4 linked regions of the Saccharomyces cerevisiae S288C genome follow. Changing the gene in region 3 together with the main gene of any one other region gives a genetic interaction. Each region holds a gene or a part of one and is shown on either strand. Other genes may lie near its edges.

Region 1 (5,533 bases), on a different chromosome or scaffold from region 3:
TCGAAAATCCAAAAAGAAAGTTTCAGTCGTACCTGGTACCTTGAGTCGCGATTCTTCGTAGTACAAATTATAAATCTAGACCCCACTTTGATTACTTTTGATGCCAAACGTTTCTTTTGACCTCTTTCCTTTTTACTAGCATTTGTAAAAATATCCATGTTTTTGTAGCTCGAGGAATACTATATAAAGGTGAACCTCCTCCTCAAAAATAGCCAACATTAACTTCAATACTTCATGTAATTTAATTTTTATAATCTGTTCAGTCAGCATATAAAAAATATAGAACAGAATCAAACGAACATCATAATTAATCTACCATGAAGTGCACTTTAGTTTCCACATTGTTTGCCATCACCAATATTCTAGTTGCACATGCACAAGTAAGCAACTCCTCAGACACGTTGGACGTACAATTTGCGAATAGTACGAACTCGTACATAGAAGGAAAATTTAATTCGACTGATGAAGCCTTCAACAGCAGCGCATCTTGGTCCTTAGCAGCTCAGCAGAAAAAGATATCTAATGCAGCTGTATATGATGTGGGTGGTTGGAATGGCTCATTGTATCGTTCCAATAGAAGCGCTGTTGCAGATCATCAACCCGGCAAAAAGCAAGATGCCGCTATTTCACAGATCAGTGATGGTCAAATCCAAGCCACTGCGTCTGGACCTGAGACTACCGCTGCTACTACCCCAAGTAGTACCGCAAATGTCTCTGTCTATGAAGGTGCTGGTATGAAGGTTGAATCCAAGAACATGGGTTATATAGTTGGAGTAGCAGCGCTATTATTTTTATAATTTGGCCTCCAAATGTAAAAATTGTACAATTAAGGACAATAGTATTTTCATTTTATAAAAAATATGTACATGTTAGAATTTTATAAGCCGAAAAAGCAGTCATTTTACCAGTTGTTTTATTCTTATCAGATGTCATATTCATGAAAACATAACACTGGCCTACACATTACACTGATTTTGTTCTTTAGGACAAGAAGTTTTCCAGAAAGAGTTTGCTGTCATTCACCACCAGTATATTATCATATACAGTATAAGGAGATGACATGAGTCGTGAGAAGTAGTCAGCGAACTTTATGAGAGCTCAAATACAAGGATTGGTAAAGCAATAGTAAGAATTGAGTAAAATTATTACACAACAGTTGGGATTTCGTTGTTGTGAAAGGTTATAATATTAGGTTTTCAAAAATATATTAAAAGCCACCCTCGAAGATACAATAATTCCAAAAAGGGTATCGATACTTTTACACAATATTATTCTATTACACTACTAGTCCTTGCGTTTCAGCTTCCTTTATTTTTGATGACTTTTTTTCAATCTTTACGTAATGTTCTTACACACCATGTGATAATACACTACTAATGTGACTACTAGTTGACGGATGATGATGTTCCTTATTACAGCAGTGTCAAGCCAAATGCATACATCGTATATTAATGTGCGCCACGTTTGACGTTTAAGTGTCACTGTGCTATTATAGAATAAAGAAAATGTTAGCGAGTATTTCATACAGTACTGAAGCCGAATTGAAGATAATTGAACGTTGCTGTGATAATTATTCATAGAAATATTACAGAGGATCGTATTAAATGTTTGGCAACTACCAATCATTATTGCATTGATCATAATCAATAATGAATGACAAATATAAGATGGGGAAGAAGTAATGATAATATTATGTAGAAATATCGATTCCCTTTTGTGAACTTCAAGATCTCCGAAGAGAACTTCTAGTATACTCTGTATACATAATATTGTAACATTGATTAACAATTGAATCTCAAAATTATCAAATTATTCACCCAATCTTCATTATTCACCAAATATTCCCAACTATCAGTAGTTCTTCTGGCAACTAATAAAATACTTAACCTATTCTATGTAGATATGAAGGGAACTGATAACAAATAGTAAGCGGATTTAGCTCAGTTGGGAGAGCGCCAGACTGAAGAAAAAACTTCGGTCAAGTTATCTGGAGGTCCTGTGTTCGATCCACAGAATTCGCATATTTTTTTAACGATTTAAAATCATTAGTTTATTTAATACTTATAGAAACTATCTTCCTCAAACAATTCTTCCCTATTAAATATACCAGATGGTAGAGTACCGCTTGCAATCAACTTGACCCCTTTCGAATATACCCTATCTGCATTTTCTGCATCCATTTTTTGATAATAATTTTGAAACGAACCTGTTTCTAATATTCTTGAAAATGTCCTTGGCACATCCTCTTCCGTAGCTGGGAAAAGTGCAGTTTCCAAGTGAAAATTTTCTGCTGAGTTAGGTAGTATAGAGAAAGAAATATTTGAAAGGGAGAGTTCGTTACCATAGCTTGTTTTGCATTCAGAACGTGAGCCTATCTCTGGTCTTAGATAATTCTGTTCCATTGATTTCTTCTCTATTGTTATATCATAATTTTCATGAGGTAATTCATTGATTTTTTTGAATGCTAATGAGCCTACTTTGAAAATATTCTCATGTTCAAAAGAGCGTGCCGGTTTCAGTTCGATTTGCTTCATATTAACAGAAAAACTACTTGAGTAAACTAAATCCTCCTTTTCTAAACACCCTTCCATACCTCTTGAAGATGAACTCGGATATTTCAGAGAGGAATCTGGACATTGATTTTTCAAAGCACCCAGTTTGTTCTGGATATGTTCAAGAGTCTCCACCCTTTTATTTGGCCTGAAGAACGGATCCTCATTTTCCTTCGAAGCTTCCATTGGTGTGGATTGACGAGATTTGATAGGCGAGATGGAGGCCCCAGAGTTCGGTGCACCTAGCGCCACTTTGGATCGCCTTTTCGAAGGTCTTGCATTTAAGCAACTTTCATTTAACGGCTGCGCCATTGATGGCATTTTTCTTTTTGTGCTGTTTTGTGAGGAATTGACACTCGACGGTGTTCTCACAGTTATTCGCTGAGATGACGCATAGTTAGAAGGTGATCTTCCTCTAATAATAAGAGGAGGCGTTTTCATTTCTTGCAAATACACAAACATCCCTTTTGATCCATTTTTTAAAGCCAGTTCATCATAAGGAATTCCGGGATTCTCCCCATGAAAGGTATCTGGATCTACCACTGCACCTAAAATTACATGCAAGCTAAAGTGTTTATTTTGTTGGGATGGTTTCTTCACGCTAATTGATGAAGCAAATTGAACTCTTTCATAACGGGCAACTTTCTGAATAGAATCTTCTGGATAGGAAAACAATAAAGAGTCCACTCCATATTCTTCATAATTAACGTGGTCTCTGTGCAAATAAAAAGTGGAATCGTATTTTTTCATTTTAGTGATATTTCGAACATTTGAAGCTTCTCTTATGATTTGATGTTTTGGCAAAGGGGAAGGCACCAACGGACATACTGAAGGACAAAATTGAGGACCTTTGTCGCGTTTCGCTGTATGCTGGACGAGATTGATTTCCGTGTCGTCGTCGTCATTCTTAGCTTTTATTTTGATAGCGAAATATTGCACTCTTAATCTGCTTTCTACTGAAGAGTCTTCAACGAGAAGATCAAAACTGCTCTTTAAAAAAGTATCCAAATCACAATTTGCCGTTTCAAACGTTGATACTAAGGTAAAATAATTTCTTTTATAACCTACCCACTCTTCATCAATATGGTCGAACCCTCTGTCAATTCTTGGAATAATTCGTAAATCTAGTGTTCTTCCGGTATGAGACTCAACGACTGGACAATAATCTCTCACTAATTCAAATGGAGGTCCCACTTTGAACTGTAGTGTTGATCTAGGGGCAATTTTTAGTTTCCTTTTGTCGAAATAATTCGAAGTGGTGCCATCTTCATTCAACTGCGTAAGGATAACAGGCGTATCCTCTTCCTGTTCTGTGCTTAATTCCCTCTCATATTTGGATACGAGATCATCCTGTAATACTGGATCTGTGTTTTCCATTTCATTCATTTTAAGCGCTTTTTATAATATTGTTATTTCTCTTTAATGAAAGGTTAGTAAACTTTCAATTTTTTGCTTAAATAGGTGACACAAAATGGAGGGCAATTATAAGGGACCTTGGCTTTTCGAAACAAAAGACAACCGTTCTGGAGCTTTGTCAGAGAGCTGGGCGGTTGTATAGAGGACAGGCCTCGAGATATTTGAGATCTCGTTTTCTACTCTTTTGTGTCATACGGCCTGGCCGATTTTCTGACACTTTGCCCTCCAAGCCGCACCTGAAGCAGAAAACGTCAAATAGCCGCGGAAGTAACAATGTAAAGTCACATATACAGTAATAGGAATGAAACACTATGTATATTCAAGGACCTTTATAGTTCTATAATATAACGCTATCTATTACACAAACTTGAGATTGAAAATCTCACAGGGCGATAGATTCATTGTTGTGCCTTGTTTTCGAATAAAAAAAAGTAGATACAAAGTGCGATTTATGTCAGCTTGGAGCGCTTGATGGATAAAGCATAAACGTCCAGGTACTCAGTAAATTCATGGATAATGTCATTCATAAACATAATGTGAACACCTAGTGAGAGACCGAACCCAAGCCAAGATAGGGCAAAGACGATTTTATTAGACTCAATTCCCCAAAGGGATAGACATATTTTGTACAATACTATCTGGCACAAAGGAATTAACATGGGTGCATTGAACATGGGAAAGCTCTGCTTAGTTAAATGGCAAACGATTATTCTTCCGACGGTAAATGCTCCCGTGAAACCAACGGAAAGGATGAAAGAGAGTGTAATAAAGCTTGGTTGCATCCACACTAGTAAAGCAATGCTTGCATAATAGGCAAAAAAGGGCAAAAGACCTTTTATAGCACTATCTTGCTCAATTTGCGTGATATTGTTGGCCGAAGAAGTGCTGTTTCTATAATACTTATCCACGTTTCTTTTCGCAGACAATGCGTTCATAACCAAACCGAAAACAGCTAGGGAAAAAACAATATCTAGAGTGTCTACATCAATTACCTTATCACCAACTGTAATTGTAAATAAGTAGGTATGCCAGATTACCTGTTTTCCGTATATACCTGTCAGTATCAATGAAACGCAAACAATCAGGATGCCTTCCACGGGTCCAGAAAACTCACTTAAGTATAATGTGTGTGTATGGTACTCTTCCCAAGTACTTAAGTAAAAATTCGTCAGCATCGCAAATTGGGATAACATTAAGTTATACGAAAATCCCATTCCAGTTTCGGATGCGAAGATGAAAATAGACAGAGTAGAATTAATGGCATCAATACTATGATCGAATAGTTCTCCTAAGGGTCCTGATTGATTGATACGGCGAGCGTGTACACCATCACATCCATCGAACGTTTGATATAGGAATACACCTAAAGCGTAAGAAAAATATGTCCAGCGAGGCGTATCTGTGTTAAGGTTTGGATCGTAATAGAATACAGTCAACACGTTGATAACTATAAAAGCAAATCCTGATAATGTGATGATGTTGGGCGCCATCCACGTGGGAAATATGTGACAAAATCTTTGCCAAAATGGCTTTAAGAAATACTTCGATACCAGCGAGCGGTCTTC
Region 2 (4,380 bases), on a different chromosome or scaffold from region 3:
GAAAGTATCGGTTTCAGGCATTTCCTTCAAACCTATAATGATTCTGTCGCGTGGAGCGGTTTTCCATGAACCTGCAGGCACTATAATGGCACCTGCTTGACGATATTCGTTAATATTGAAAGTAGATTGTGGACTGTCCTCTACATATATTTTGAAGCCCTTAGCTATCAGTTTTTTAACCGTGGTAGGTGTTAAGGCAGCACGTGCCTCTAGGGGTTTAGTTTCAGCTCTTAGATGTAATGTGACGGCAGCCATTTTTGCGGTTGTGTGAAAAATAAAGCGTTTTCGTTGTTATCTTATGGTATGCCTCCTAAAATACCAGTTTCCGTCAGGGAAGATGGGCTTTTTATATATTTCATCGTGGTTTCTCGAGGATGACTTTATGACTCTTTGTCGCTGAAATCGCAGGGGAATTTTGGCGGTTGAGAGCGGAATTCCAAATTCCGCTGGAAAAAAAAAATAATAATGCAAAATGTATAAATGTATAAGAGTCTTTTTTGACTCATCGACTTAGTATGTAACAATTTATATGTACCTGCTATCCTCAAGGCATAAAGTCCGCCAAGGCAGGGTCATTATAGCTCAAGTACTGTCCATTAACACCGTCAGGAATACCATGAAGGGCCAATTTGGCATAAACTGTAGCTGGCACAGAGCTATCCAGCAACTGGTTATTCTCCTTTAAACCTCTAAACATCTTCAATTGCTCTGCACTCATGGAGGAAGGCCCCACGTTCTCCCTAATGTTAACTTGCATATCTGTGTCCACAATACCTGGGGCGACGGCAATGGCTTTCACTTGCCTTTCCTCGTTGGCCAGAGTCATGGCGAAGTGGTTCAGAGCGGCTTTTGAAGAACCGTAAGCTCCCCAACTGCTGAAGTACATGTTACAGGCGTCCGAACTGACGAATACCACGTTACCGTTGGTCTTCTTCAATTCAGGTAACGCAATGCCAACCAAGGAAACAATGCTGAAGAAGTTGATGTCATACAGCTTCTTCCAAGCGTTGACATCAATCTCGTTGACATTTTGCACGGGCTCTAGGACACCAGCGTTGGCAACCAAGGAGTCGATCTTGCCGTGGCCCTTAACAGCAGCGTTAACCAACTGCTTCAACACGGAATCCTCGGTAATATCACCGACAACGTAAAAAAACCTGTCGCCATACTTCTCTTTCAACTTCTTCAAGGGTGCCTCAGACCTGGCTACACCGTAAACAACCGTGTCCTTGTCCAAACTGAAAAGAACATCCACGATGGACTTACCGATACCTCTGGAAACACCTGTAACTAAAATAACTTTACCCATGTTTTTTTAACCTGTTACACGCTGTAGTTAGACCCTTTTTTTTAGGTACAATATTCTTCCATTGCACTTGATCTTTTTCGTTTACGTATATATATGCAAAAGTTAATGTTCATACTGTCTTCTCTTCATTTCTTTGAAAACACCGCGGAATTCCTTCGGTGATACATTCAATCCGGTTCTTGGCACAGAAATGGCCGCACAAAACTGTCGCTCATCGCAAACCCAATAAAAGTTTAGTAGCTAAAAACTATAACTATACCCTTTTACATAATATAGTTTAGTACTAGCCCTGCACCGGCCCCAGTCGCTCATCGTTGTAGCGGAGATATTGACCGTTCAAAGAGTCGGGAATACCTTTCAGGACGAGTTGCGCTAGTACCGCCGCAGGCACCTTTGGGTCCAGCAGTGACGAAGTCTTGTACAATTGAGTAAACCTCTCGAGAGCCTTGGGTGTCATGCCCTGAGGACCCAATGTTTCCCTAATATCTTTCTGCATCTGCGTGTCAACGACGCCCGGTGCAATACACACGGCACGCACTTTATCACTGGGCTCTTCACTGGCAATGTCCATGGCAAAGTGGTTTAATGCGGCTTTCGAGCAGCCGTACGCCGACCATCCGTTATATGGTTTCACACTGGCTCCAGAGCTGACGAAGACAATGTTGCCTACAAATGGCGAGCTCTTCAAGAGGGGTAAACACAGTGCCACCAAAGAGACAATGCTGAAAAAGTTCACATCGAACAGCCGTTCCCACTGCTTGATGTCGTGTTCGGAGTTGGACTGGGAGATGGACTTCACCGGTTCTAGCATCCCCGCATTTGCGACAATACCGTCCAGTTTTCCATGCTTTTGCCGGATTTCCTCCACCAACGCTTCCATTCGAGACCTGTCCGTGATGTCGAGGACACGATAGACAAATTTGTCTGCACCGTATTCTCTTTGCAAAGACTGCAGACCAGCTTCCGTTCTTGCTACGCCGTAGACGATGCATTCATCGTCCTCTTCGATAACAGTTTTCACCAATTGCAGGCCAATCCCACGGGAGGCACCTGTAATCAAAATAACCTTGCCCATATCCCTTCTTTGACAGATTATAAGTTGTTTCTCTTGTTGCTGTTCGCGACAGCCCTTATTTCCTGTATTCCTTCTTCTTTTTCTGCATTATCGTTTTTAGCCACTTTACGAAAAAGGTCAAAAAGTGAAAAAAAGAGGGAAAAAACCATGAGGAACAGTATGCTCCCTTAATATCGGAAAAGCAATAGTAATAAAAACAGCATCAGAGCTTTCCACGTCTCTCTCTTCCAAGCTGTCATCTCGTAAAGTATTCAAGTTTATCATGTCAGAATTCTATAAGCTAGCACCTGTTGACAAGAAAGGCCAACCATTCCCCTTCGACCAATTAAAGGGAAAAGTGGTGCTTATCGTTAATGTTGCCTCCAAATGTGGATTCACTCCTCAATACAAAGAACTAGAGGCCTTGTACAAACGTTATAAGGACGAAGGATTTACCATCATCGGGTTCCCATGCAACCAGTTTGGCCACCAAGAACCTGGCTCTGATGAAGAAATTGCCCAGTTCTGCCAACTGAACTATGGCGTGACTTTCCCCATTATGAAAAAAATTGACGTTAATGGTGGCAATGAGGACCCTGTTTACAAGTTTTTGAAGAGCCAAAAATCCGGTATGTTGGGCTTGAGAGGTATCAAATGGAATTTTGAAAAATTCTTAGTCGATAAAAAGGGTAAAGTGTACGAAAGATACTCTTCACTAACCAAACCTTCTTCGTTGTCCGAAACCATCGAAGAACTTTTGAAAGAGGTGGAATAGGCAGGTCTTCTTCTTTTGAAGTTAGGTAAAGCTTAGTTTTCTTTTATATTTCCTGATAATACATACTCGCTAGTCAAACCTGTCAATTATTATGTGTCGCAACAGACTATATACGTATACATACATATGTATTGAAGTGTGTGAACGAATTACGCGGCTGCTAGTGCCGTACGAACGCAACAAAACGGTTTAGAAATTGCTACCTAAAGCACGCGCCTTTTCCTTAGAAGCAGCATACGACTCCTCTGAGGTTATGGTCTTTAACCATTTGGAAATGGCAGGATAATCCTCTGGTGCGGCAAACTTTCTTTCAAACGCCATCTGCAAAGGGAAAGACATCAAGATATCGGCACCGCTCAACTTCCCATCAACCAGGTAGCCGTTATTTTTGGAAATTTCACCCTCCACAAAGTCGAACTGGTTCTTAACTTCACCACTAGAGTATGCCTGACTGATCTTGTCTGCCACTTTTCTTGCCAAGTACGAAATAGGGAAGGGCATACCAGAATCCTTCACCTTTGAAAGAATGAACTCAATCATTAAAGGTGGTTGCAAGGAACCTTCTACATAAAACAGATAATAGTTAATCTGGTCTGCAATATCAGCATCTTCGCTCATTAAAACGTGTGAATGATCAAAATGCTGCAAGACATATTGGAAGATGAAACCGGACTCGGCAAGTATCTTCTTCTTACCAGTTTCTCTGTCTTGAACTTCTAACAATGGAGATCTTCCTAATGGGTGAATTTTCTTTAATTCTGGTGGAGCACGGAAGTTAGCATCTCTTTTATAAGGGACAATTTCATATTCAAGGTTCAAATGGTCTAATAACCACAAAAGTCTGAACGCTCTGGAATGGTCCAACCAATGGACTTTGATAATTGGCAACGACATAATGCTTCCTTGATTTACCTTTTCCCTCTCATTTTAGGTTGTTGTAAAAAATATCAACGATCGTTTTATATATAAGGATTCTGCCATAGTATTTCAACGTTATCCACTTCCCCTAAATTTTCACCATACTGGAGCGAGCGGGTACGAGGTGAAAATCATTAGTAAATGGCCGTAGCATGAAAAGTGCGATTGTCATAGTAACAAGGAGGGGCTTATCCTTGGCTATTGCGAGGCACCCCCTCTGTTGCTAACGGAGGTTGTAACTGCCGGTGGTGGTTTTCCTATTAGGCTAGCCTTGGCATACAGATCACCCTTAGGGCCCACTTTGGTGTGAGCTTGAGGTGCTTA
Region 3 (5,078 bases):
ATCTGGAGAAGCATCTGCCAATAGCGGCAGATTTTCATCGTTGGCGTCATGTGGCTCCACAACATGGTGCTTATTGTTACTGTACAGCTTATCTTTTTGCAAAGAATAGATCAATTTTTTCAGCTGCGAATAGGCCAGATACTTGGTAGACCATTCTGGTACAGAATTGAATTGTAAGGAATGCGAGAACTTCATGTCAGTCTGCAAGTTACCGTGTCACCTTCACAGTTTTCTTTTTATTTGACTAAGTAAAAAAAGAAAAGAAGTTATTTTTACTAAGATTTTGAGCGGCATTTTTCCTAGTTACTTATCAATTTTCATACATGCAAGACATACTCAATTTTTTTTTTTTTTTTTCAGTTTTAAAATTAGTCCTGATCAAAAAGCCATCACGTGGATCCCCGAAAAAAAACGGATCCGGGTAACCAGAAGTATTTTTTTCAAGGGAATAAAAGTTACCCTACCAAAATAAAAAAATTCAAGTAGGGTAATAAAGTTCCACCCCCCATCAGGATTATCGTTCTCTGACATCACCCACTCTCTGCTCGCTCTCTGCTCGCTCTCTGCTTTCTTTCCCCACGCCGGAGTGATTAAGGCGGATAGGCCCACCTGAACACCTCGCTCAGAACATCAGCGAGAGTTCCAGCCCCTCTACCCCTTACCTCTCGCCGCCCCTCATTTCGGATCAAAAGCAAAAGAACAAAGGGCCTTCGCAGAAACGGAAGGTTTCGACCCCTCGGTGCCGTTTTAATTTCTTTTTCTGGCCAGTTAAGCTTTTTGACTTTCTCGAATCAGCCCAGTGCAAAACAGTACGCATACGAGCACACAAATGTATATATATGTGTATGTATATATGTATATAGGTATGTGTGTGTACATCCGAAGCGTAAACTAATGATCTGCAAGTTTCAGATTTTTTCTCGAAAAATATAACTAATAAACGTTCCATGTCGTCCACGGATATCAAGCCTTGTGCCGTGAACATCCCTGTTTCCGCTCACATCACCTTCCACTACAAGTCGATCGCGGACAGAAGCAGCAGCAGGAGCAGCAGCAGCAGCTCCTGCTCCTCTGCTACATCTAAAGCCTGCTCCCCCAGAGGCAGCTCCGTCGGCTTACCGCCTGCTTTATCAACTGACAATGAAATCGTCGAGACTGTACTTAATGTTTCCGCTCCCGTTGTAGCAGACCCTACGCGGCCCTCATTGTTCAAGAGTAACTACACCGCAGCCTCGTGCTTGACTTCTGACCCAACCTCGCCGTCACTACTGCCCTCTTCTAGGCGCAACTCTGTATTGCCGGCAAGCGACTTCCACCAATGCGCGCATCACAAAAACTTTCAAAGAAGGGCCAGTGAGCCACAACTGCCCTCCTTCGATAATCGCTCGTCGTCCGAGATGAAAAGGTCCGTCTCGTACGCCCAGCATAGCATGATGTTCCCCATCAGTGACCAACAGGAGCCGCAAACATCCGCGTCTCCTAACGACCACTCAGACCCGTCTTGTCCTTGCAACAGACATCACCACAGAAGAAACTCGGTCGCCGTCAAGTTTGACAAACCATTGTATGAGAGACTAGAGACGTAGTTATCCATTCGTCCATCCATCTGTCTATCGTCACACAGCATTTCCCATCCCTCCTCTATACATACATACATATACAGTTCTGCGTGGTCTACGCAGCCATGTATATATATATTTCCGTCGTTTTATATATTCATTACTAAAATCGACAATGCATTTTTTGCCGCTTTCCATTTCCTCTACTTTGCTCATCACTTCGCTCGAAGAAAAAATGAAAACCGTCTTGAAAAACTTTTGCTATTTCATCCATCCAAGCCACACCAAATAGCGCAGTCACACAGAGATCATGGTTACATATGCTGGAAAACTGGTTCTAGCTCCAATGGTAAGAGCCGGCGAACTGCCCACGAGACTGATGGCGCTGGCCCACGGTGCAGATCTCGTCTGGTCCCCAGAAATCATCGACAAAAAGCTAATTCAGTGCGTCAGGAAGGAAAACACTGCACTCCAAACTGTCGACTACGTCGTGCCGTCCAAGGTTCAAACGAGGCCGGAGACGCTCGTTTTCAGAACATATCCAAAACTAGAATCCTCTAAATTGATTTTCCAGATCGGGTCTGCATCCCCGGCTCTGGCCACCCAGGCTGCTTTGAAAGTGATCAACGACGTCAGCGGGATAGATATCAATGCAGGCTGCCCCAAACACTTCTCTATACACTCCGGCATGGGCTCTGCCCTCTTGCGCACCCCAGACACACTGTGTCTCATCTTGAAAGAACTGGTTAAGAACGTGGGTAACCCTCACAGCAAACCCATCAGTGTGAAAATAAGACTCTTGGACACCAAGCAAGACACTCTACAGCTCGTCAAACGTCTGTGTGCCACGGGCATCACAAATCTTACAGTTCACTGCAGGAAGACTGAAATGAGAAACAGAGAGCAGCCCATCACAGATTACATTGCGGAGATCTACGAGATATGCCAGGCAAATAACGTGTCGTTGATTGTGAACGGCGCTATCCGCGACCGCTCTCATTTTCATGATTTACAAGCGAATCATTGGAAAAACACTAACATTGGTGGTATGATTGCAGAGTGTGCTGAACGGGACCCTACAGTTTTTGATCACACTTCTAAGCCTTCAGAAGACGGTCCATCTTGGGTCGTTGCTTGTCGCGAGTTTATTCAGTGGGCAACGAAGTTTGACAACCACATCGGCAATACAAAATACATGTTAAGCAGAATTGTCCCCGGAAAATCAGTCTTTTTTCAGTACTTTGCCCGTTGCAAGAGCCCGGAAGAAGTTAGTTTCGTACTAAAGCAATTGAACGATGATGGAAGCGCTCAAACAGATCCTTCAGAGTACTTGGAAAACTGCAGAGCTCAAGAAAAAGCTTTGAAAAACGCCAACGCCATCGCCAAGCAAAAGAGGAAACAGACCGATCACATAGGCAGTGACACTAAAAAGCAAAAGGTTGTACCCCTTCCCACAGATATATAATATATTCTAAGTAAAAAGAACGGATTATGAAAGAAAACGCGCATAATATATATATGTATGTATTTTCTAATTTATATTAGCAACTAAATTAAATTACATCAATACTATTTTTTTTTTTTACTTTACAAGGTTTATTTCAAAGTCTTCAACAATTTTTCTTTATCATCGGTAGATAACATCTTGATAACTTCAGATAATCCATCAATAGCATTGTCATGGTCGCTTCTGATCTTTTTAGCTAAGTCTTGAGCGAATGACTCTAATTTCAAACCCTTTAGTTTATCGTCCAAAGTTTTGTAGTTTTCTTCAATCCATGTTGCGACTTGCCTATCATCTTCATGGTCCACTGAAGCAGGGTACCACGATCTAATTCTTGCGATCTTTTCTAATCTTGATGCTTCGCCTACCTGATGGCTCAACCTTTTAATCAAATATTCTTCGTTCAATCTTCTTCTCAATCTCCAGAAGAAGAAACGACGTGCCTCGGTCCATTCCAGTTCCTTAGAAATAACACCCTTGGCCACCATACGTGAAGACCTATCGTGCAAATCAGCAAATTGAAGACTGATTTGTCCGTAAATTGGCAATAGTTCTCTCTCACGATCAGCTAATTGCTTGGATATTTGCTGATGTACTTCTGGAGCCAAACTCTTGTTGGATAATTGAGATCTCAATTCTCTGTACTTGTCATCCAATCTGTTCATGGTGTCCAGCAATTTTTCTCTACGGAACTTGATACCAACCATACCTTGTGGTTCCAAAACACCAGCTCTAGCGTTGACGTCGGCATACATTTCCATTTGGTCAGCGTTGATAGTTGGATCGACAACAACCCATGAACCACCTCTTAGTTCACCGGTAGGTGGGATATAGATAATAATTGGTTGTTTGTAATCCACCAATGCGTCAACAATAAACGAACCATACTTCAAGACTTCGTTGAACATATCACGTTGACCACCAGAGAAACCTCTCCAGTTGGCCAAAATCATCATTGGCAATTGTTCACCGTTGTTAAAGTCATTGATAGCTTGAGCAGTCTTGAAGGCGGAGTTTGGATGCCAAACTTGACCAGGTTCTTGAATTAATGTTTCAGCACTATTTGGATTAGCTGGATCAGCAGGAATCAAGTTCTCGACAGTTCTTGTTTCAACACCAATAACACCCAGTGGAATACCACCAAGACGGGCTCTACCAACGACAACACCTTTGGCCCATCCTGACAAAGTTTCAAAGAAAGACCCTTTATCAAACAAACCATATTCAAATCCACTTTCAGTCTCACGACCTTCAATCATCCATCTTACATCGTAAGTTTCATCATTAGTTGGAGTGAAATCAACTGGTCTATCCCATGTGTCTTTAGTTTCCAAGATAGGAACTGGCATATTACGCTTGGCTGGAACATAAGACATCCATTCAACAATCTTCTCTACACCAGCTAAATCGTCAACAGCAGTCAAATGTGAAACACCGTTGTTATACATGATTTGAGTACCACCCAATTGTAAGTTAGAAGTATAAACTTCTCTACCCAGCATTTTGTTGATTGCAGGAGCACCAGTTAAAATAATTGGCTGGCCTTCGACCTGAATAGCTCTTTGACCCAAACGAACCAAATAAGCACCGATACCGACGGATCTACAAGTGACTAAGGTGATAGTGAAGATATCGTGGTAAGCCCTTGACGTTGCACCAGCAATTAAACCAGATCCACGTAGACATTCGACACCTAACCCATCTTCAGAACCAATAATTGTCTTGATGACAAATCTTTCTTCACCGTTTATAACAGTACGTTCAGTGAGAACAGAATTTTCTTTGTCAAATTTCTTTAAAGTTTCCATACCTTCACTTGTTAAGTATAAGTATTGGAAGCCCTTGTCCGGATTGGCAGCATCATTCCATGCAACTTGAAATAGTGGAACAATCTCTTCAGCCATACCAATTCTGGCACCTGAGTTTGCAGCCAAGTAAATTCTTGGGATACCACGCTTTCTAGCATATTCAGTAACCTTATTGAAGAATTCGTCTTCTTGTGGACCAAAGGAACC
Region 4 (4,733 bases), on a different chromosome or scaffold from region 3:
CTTCTTATTATATGATATTAATTTGAATAAAGCTACAGAATTTATCCTCGTTGATAATAACTATAATTCTACAAATGAATTTTGGGATGGACTCATGGACAGGTTGTCACCATATTTGAGTTATTTCATAGATGAGAAGCTGAAAACAGAAGAAGACATGATTAAATTGAAAGATTTTCTTTGTATTTATGTTGCCATTTTAGAAAATTTCAAACTGAACATCGAACCTTTATATAAAATTTTGGTTTCAATTTTCGAGAAATTCTGCTCTGTTTCCTTGAGAGCTTTTGACGATGAATTTCAAATCTTGTTAAACGATGATGATTTTATGCCTTTATCCATTAATGACAAGACATTATATGAGAAAGTTTTGAAGATTTGCTGGATGAAGGAGGGCGAACACCTTTCCCTGCCAGATCCAACCAACGGAGAGCCATTTGCTGTGACTTTGCCTTTTTCTCCATTATACCCAATGACGTGTACACTTGCTAAGAAAACATATTCTAAAATAACCGCATTTCTTTCCATATTTTATCGTCATGAGCTACACACTTTGAATAATATTTTGGTCAAAACAATGGACGATATATTTAATGATATCGTCAATAAAAAAATTCGTTCTAAACTTGAAAGTACGTCGAGAGAAGAAATTGCACAAATCTTAGTCAATTTAGATTATTTTATCATAGCAGCAAAAGAATTTAGTAACTTCATGACAAGAGAGAATATTTTACAAAACCCGGATATGGAAATACGGTTATCCTCGATAAAATATCTTGCGGAAAGCAGAAAATTGGCAGAAACAAAGTTAATTGAATTAATCGATTCTAAGATATCAGATATTCTTGAAACTATTGAAATTGACTGGCAAATAACGGAGGTAAGGCAAGACCCGGATATCTCCATCATTGATCTGGCACAATTTTTAGAAATGATGTTTGCCAGCACGCTACAAAATTTACCATACAGCGTCCAAACATTATTGATTTTCCGTGAATTTGACTCCTTGACGAGACAATTCATGGGTCTATTATTGCATGACACACCAAGTACAATTACACATGAAAGCATAATGAATTTTGAAGTTGATGTCAATTATTTAGAGAGCATTATTCCCAGAATTTTCCCCTCTACACCAGGTACTATAGATAGTAATGGATACCAGTCGCCAATGACCCCTTCGACGCCTACATTTCCAAATGCCAACGGTGTTGACGCACCAACATTATTTGAAAATAATATCAAATCGCTAGAAGCTACATTTATGGAGTTGAAGCAGTGTATAGAGTTATTAAAGACTCAGGGAAAAGATTATAATGAACCAGAAATAAGATTAAGAAAATATTCAAGAATTAGACAGGAAGATGCGGCTCTTTTGTTGAGCAAGATTCAGCACTTCGTCTCATCTGTAGAAGGAGCTAACGGCGATGACACTAGCGTAATGGATAGTAGCAGCATATTCAACTCTGAATCAGCGAGTGTCATTGACTCTAATACGAGTAGGATAGCCAAATTTTTTAATAGACGTTAAAAAATTAGATATTATCTCAGTATAATCATTTGTACGTTCATAAGAAAGAATTTCGGACAGTCTTGAGTTTTTTGGTTTTAGCATCGAAAAAGTTCACTTCAAATAAATTTTTTTTTTATCATTGAATAACTCTTTATTTTTCACGTCAACCAAATACATCTCAAAAGTCTACTATATATTGAAAAGTATCATACAATTAGTGTAAATAAGTATCTTAATTATGGGTGAAAAACGTAACCGTAATGGTAAGGATGCAAATTCCCAAAACAGGAAGAAAGTATGTCTGTCTGCACACGAATTAGAGTTCTTTAAGTACTAACGATCAAAAGTAATAGTTTAAAGTATCTTCCGGATTCTTAGACCCTGGTACGTCTGGAATATATGCCACATGTTCTAGAAGACATGAACGTCAAGCAGCCCAAGAGTTGCAGCTTTTATTCGAAGAAAAATTTCAAGAACTCTATGGGGATATCAAAGAAGGAGAAGATGAAAGTGAAAATGACGAAAAGAAAGATCTATCAATTGAAGACCAGATAAAAAAGGAATTACAAGAATTGAAAGGTGAAGAAACAGGCAAAGATTTATCTTCAGGGGAGACAAAGAAGAAAGACCCCTTAGCCTTCATCGACTTGAACTGTGAGTGCGTGACATTTTGTAAAACAAGAAAGCCAATTGTTCCCGAAGAATTTGTGCTAAGTATCATGAAAGACTTAGCGGATCCCAAAAATATGGTTAAACGTACTAGATATGTTCAGAAATTAACACCTATTACGTACTCTTGTAATGCAAAAATGGAGCAATTAATCAAGTTGGCCAATTTGGTTATTGGGCCACACTTTCATGACCCTTCGAATGTTAAAAAAAATTATAAATTTGCTGTAGAAGTGACAAGAAGAAATTTCAATACGATTGAAAGAATGGACATCATTAATCAAGTTGTGAAGCTGGTCAATAAAGAGGGTTCTGAGTTTAATCATACTGTGGACTTGAAGAACTATGATAAATTGATTCTAGTGGAATGTTTTAAGAGCAATATCGGAATGTGTGTAGTCGATGGGGATTATAAAACCAAATATCGTAAATACAACGTTCAACAGCTTTATGAATCGAAATTCCGAAAGGATGAAGATAAGAGTGTAAAACAATAATCATATATGAAACAGAATAGATATTTTATATAAGTATATACGCTCTCAATCGGAAAACCATTGTAATCCATTATTATAATGAGCAATTCGTTCCCAGGGTAGCCAATCACCCTTAGCGTTAGGAATGAGACCCATTGAATTTAGTTTCCTGTATCCAATGTACATTAAGACGCCTTGGAATACGATATACATGAACATAGCAGTTTGCACTTGACTTTGTGTTGCTTTATTACCCAACACTGGTTTGAATGCACTCCTTGTTGAAAATATTGCTTTAATGGGTCCAGAGAGTAGCATGAGGGCAGTCATTATAGGAATGATTTGTAAGGATGTACCGGACATATACGACATAAAAATATTCATCGGAATAGATTTGGCTGGTTGTAACGCAATTTGCCATGCCTTCTGTACTTGTAATACTGTTATTTGGTTTTTTTGTGCCAAAGAAGTAGTTTGAGATGTAGCATCTTGTTGTTTTCTTGTAACATTTCCTTTAGAGGAATTACCTTCAAATCCTGGTGGTGAAGGTAATGTGTTTGAGTTCTGAATGTTGTATTTTTCGATATACTTGGTGTCCAATAGGTGTTTAGCCCATTCGTAAGGCTCCTGTTCACTCATTTCTGTTGCTTATATCGTTTGGCTTTATTTTAACCTTAACTGATATTATGTTCAACTTTTTTTCATTCTATTTATATAGAAAAGAATACGCTTTTTTTATTATTTATGAAAGGAACATGAAAAAACTACGAATGTACAAAAGCAGAGATTGCTAGAGAATACATTGGTCAAGAATTTTCGCATATGGAACGCATTGCTCTTTTAGATGGGCTGTTAAATAATCGTAATTTAGGTTAGTTATTGCCCTTTGCGTCTTCCGTGGAACAATGTTGGTCCAATAAATTATAAAGAAAAGAAATTGGATAGCACAAATAAAAGAGCAAGCGATAATGCAAAACATTAAAAGTCTGTTTTCCATTAGTTTGTAATATTCTGAGGTCATCAATAAAAACCATTTTTTCGTTCTTGTAAAATTGTATCTCTCATCTGTATTGGATTTTTCGACCATTTGAAAATCATCCTTGCTTTTTCCTTTATATTCAGTCGAGGAATCATTTGCTGTATTAGGCTCTGGTTGAGAAACCTCTTCAAGGCCCTTTTTTGGGTAGGCTTTCAATAAATGTAGAACATTGCCGGATAGTGTAATAATTCCCATTATTATGGTTTTGTTTTGCCTGGTTTGGGCCTGACTTTAGTTATATGATTATTTTTGTATAGATAGCTATAAGTTATTGAAAGTAAGCTAGACAATAATTTTTGGTGAATAGTTGGTGAACATTCCTGAACTACAAAGGACTATTGTTATATTTAGTTTACTTCAATTGGCCCCCAATAGGCTTCGTAATTTTTACATGTCACAAAATTAAATAAGGCAAAACGAGAAACAAAATATTAAAAATGTAGGAAAAAAAAAGTCAAAATTGGTTTGACGACTTAACCTAATCAATTTAAGTCGGAATGATGATCAACAATAACATCTTTAATTTTATCATGAATATCTAATTCGGTTAATTGACCCAATTCATCTATGAGCTCGGCAACTTTATCATGCAACTTAACATCCTCCTCGTGAACAATTTCATTCTCATCCATTGTGGATGGATGAGCTGGTTTACTCATATCAGCTTTTTCCAAAAAGTCCTGGTTAGTATTTTCATCGCTTTCGGCACAGAACTGGCCTCCACCAAGAATTATTGAACACATTGTCCTTGTTTCGTTCAAGATGTCACTAGAATATGACATCCAAACTTCATCTTGTAAGAAGGCATATATATCTGGAGCAATTAGATCGGTCTTATAAATTTTGGAATACTTCGCAATTTCTTCGGCAATTAATACTAATTGACCCATATAACCTAAATTTGTTTTCTCTTTTTCGTAAAATTCAAACGAATCCTTGTGGCCTTGTAAAATGAAATCAGAGATAATATGGAAGTCTTTAACAGGTAACTTTTGGTTGCTGCCGTACAAAGGTTTTGGGATAAATCTTGTAGACT

Evidence for each region.
Region 1: mutations in SMM1 (region 3) and NDT80 together harm fitness more than expected from each alone (negative genetic interaction), as found in Saccharomyces cerevisiae (2 studies listed by BioGRID).
Region 2: mutations in SMM1 (region 3) and IRC24 together harm fitness more than expected from each alone (negative genetic interaction), as found in Saccharomyces cerevisiae (2 studies listed by BioGRID).
Region 4: mutations in SMM1 (region 3) and TAN1 together harm fitness more than expected from each alone (negative genetic interaction), as found in Saccharomyces cerevisiae (3 studies listed by BioGRID).

The regions. Positions count from the first base shown.
Region 1 is NC_001140.6:354,966-360,498, reverse strand, and holds NDT80 (transcription factor NDT80), read right to left. Parts: upstream 3,939-5,533; coding exon 2,055-3,938; downstream 1-2,054. Other genes in the region: ANS1 (Ans1p), read left to right, coding at 318-797; YHR125W (uncharacterized protein), read right to left, coding at 1,336-1,641; EPT1 (bifunctional diacylglycerol cholinephosphotransferase/ethanolaminephosphotransferase), read right to left, coding at 4,418-5,533. UniProt on the Saccharomyces cerevisiae protein: Transcription factor required for successful completion of meiosis and spore formation. Gets activated after completion of meiotic recombination at the end of prophase I.
Region 2 is NC_001141.2:420,482-424,861, forward strand, and holds IRC24 (sepiapterin reductase family protein IRC24), read right to left. Parts: upstream 2,385-4,380; coding exon 1,593-2,384; downstream 1-1,592. Other genes in the region: LYS1 (saccharopine dehydrogenase (NAD+, L-lysine-forming)), read right to left, coding at 1-255; NRE1 (sepiapterin reductase family protein), read right to left, coding at 545-1,309; peroxiredoxin HYR1, read left to right, coding at 2,647-3,138; GTT1 (bifunctional glutathione transferase/peroxidase), read right to left, coding at 3,328-4,032. UniProt on the Saccharomyces cerevisiae protein: Reduces benzil stereospecifically to (S)-benzoin. Also reduces 1-phenyl-1,2-propanedione to 2-hydroxy-1-phenyl-1-propanone. Is probably involved in a pathway contributing to genomic integrity.
Region 3 is NC_001146.8:651,518-656,595, forward strand, and holds SMM1 (tRNA-dihydrouridine(20) synthase (NAD(+))), read left to right. Parts: upstream 1-1,869; coding exon 1,870-3,024; downstream 3,025-5,078. Other genes in the region: PHO91 (Pho91p), read right to left, coding at 1-195; YNR014W (uncharacterized protein), read left to right, coding at 948-1,586; acetyl-CoA carboxylase ACC1, read right to left, coding at 3,156-5,078. UniProt on the Saccharomyces cerevisiae protein: Catalyzes the NADPH-dependent synthesis of dihydrouridine, a modified base found in the D-loop of most tRNAs. Specifically modifies U20 in cytoplasmic tRNAs. Also able to mediate dihydrouridylation of some mRNAs, thereby affecting their translation.
Region 4 is NC_001139.9:60,324-65,056, forward strand, and holds TAN1 (putative tRNA acetyltransferase), read left to right. Parts: upstream 1-1,751; coding exon 1,752-1,808; intron 1,809-1,866; coding exon 1,867-2,679; downstream 2,680-4,733. Other genes in the region: Rab GTPase-binding exocyst subunit SEC15, read left to right, coding at 1-1,531; chaperone EMC4, read right to left, coding at 2,725-3,297; YGL230C (uncharacterized protein), read right to left, coding at 3,449-3,892; SAP4 (Sap4p), read right to left, coding at 4,180-4,733. UniProt on the Saccharomyces cerevisiae protein: Probable tRNA acetyltransferase required for the formation of the modified nucleoside N(4)-acetylcytidine in serine and leucine tRNAs. Binds RNA.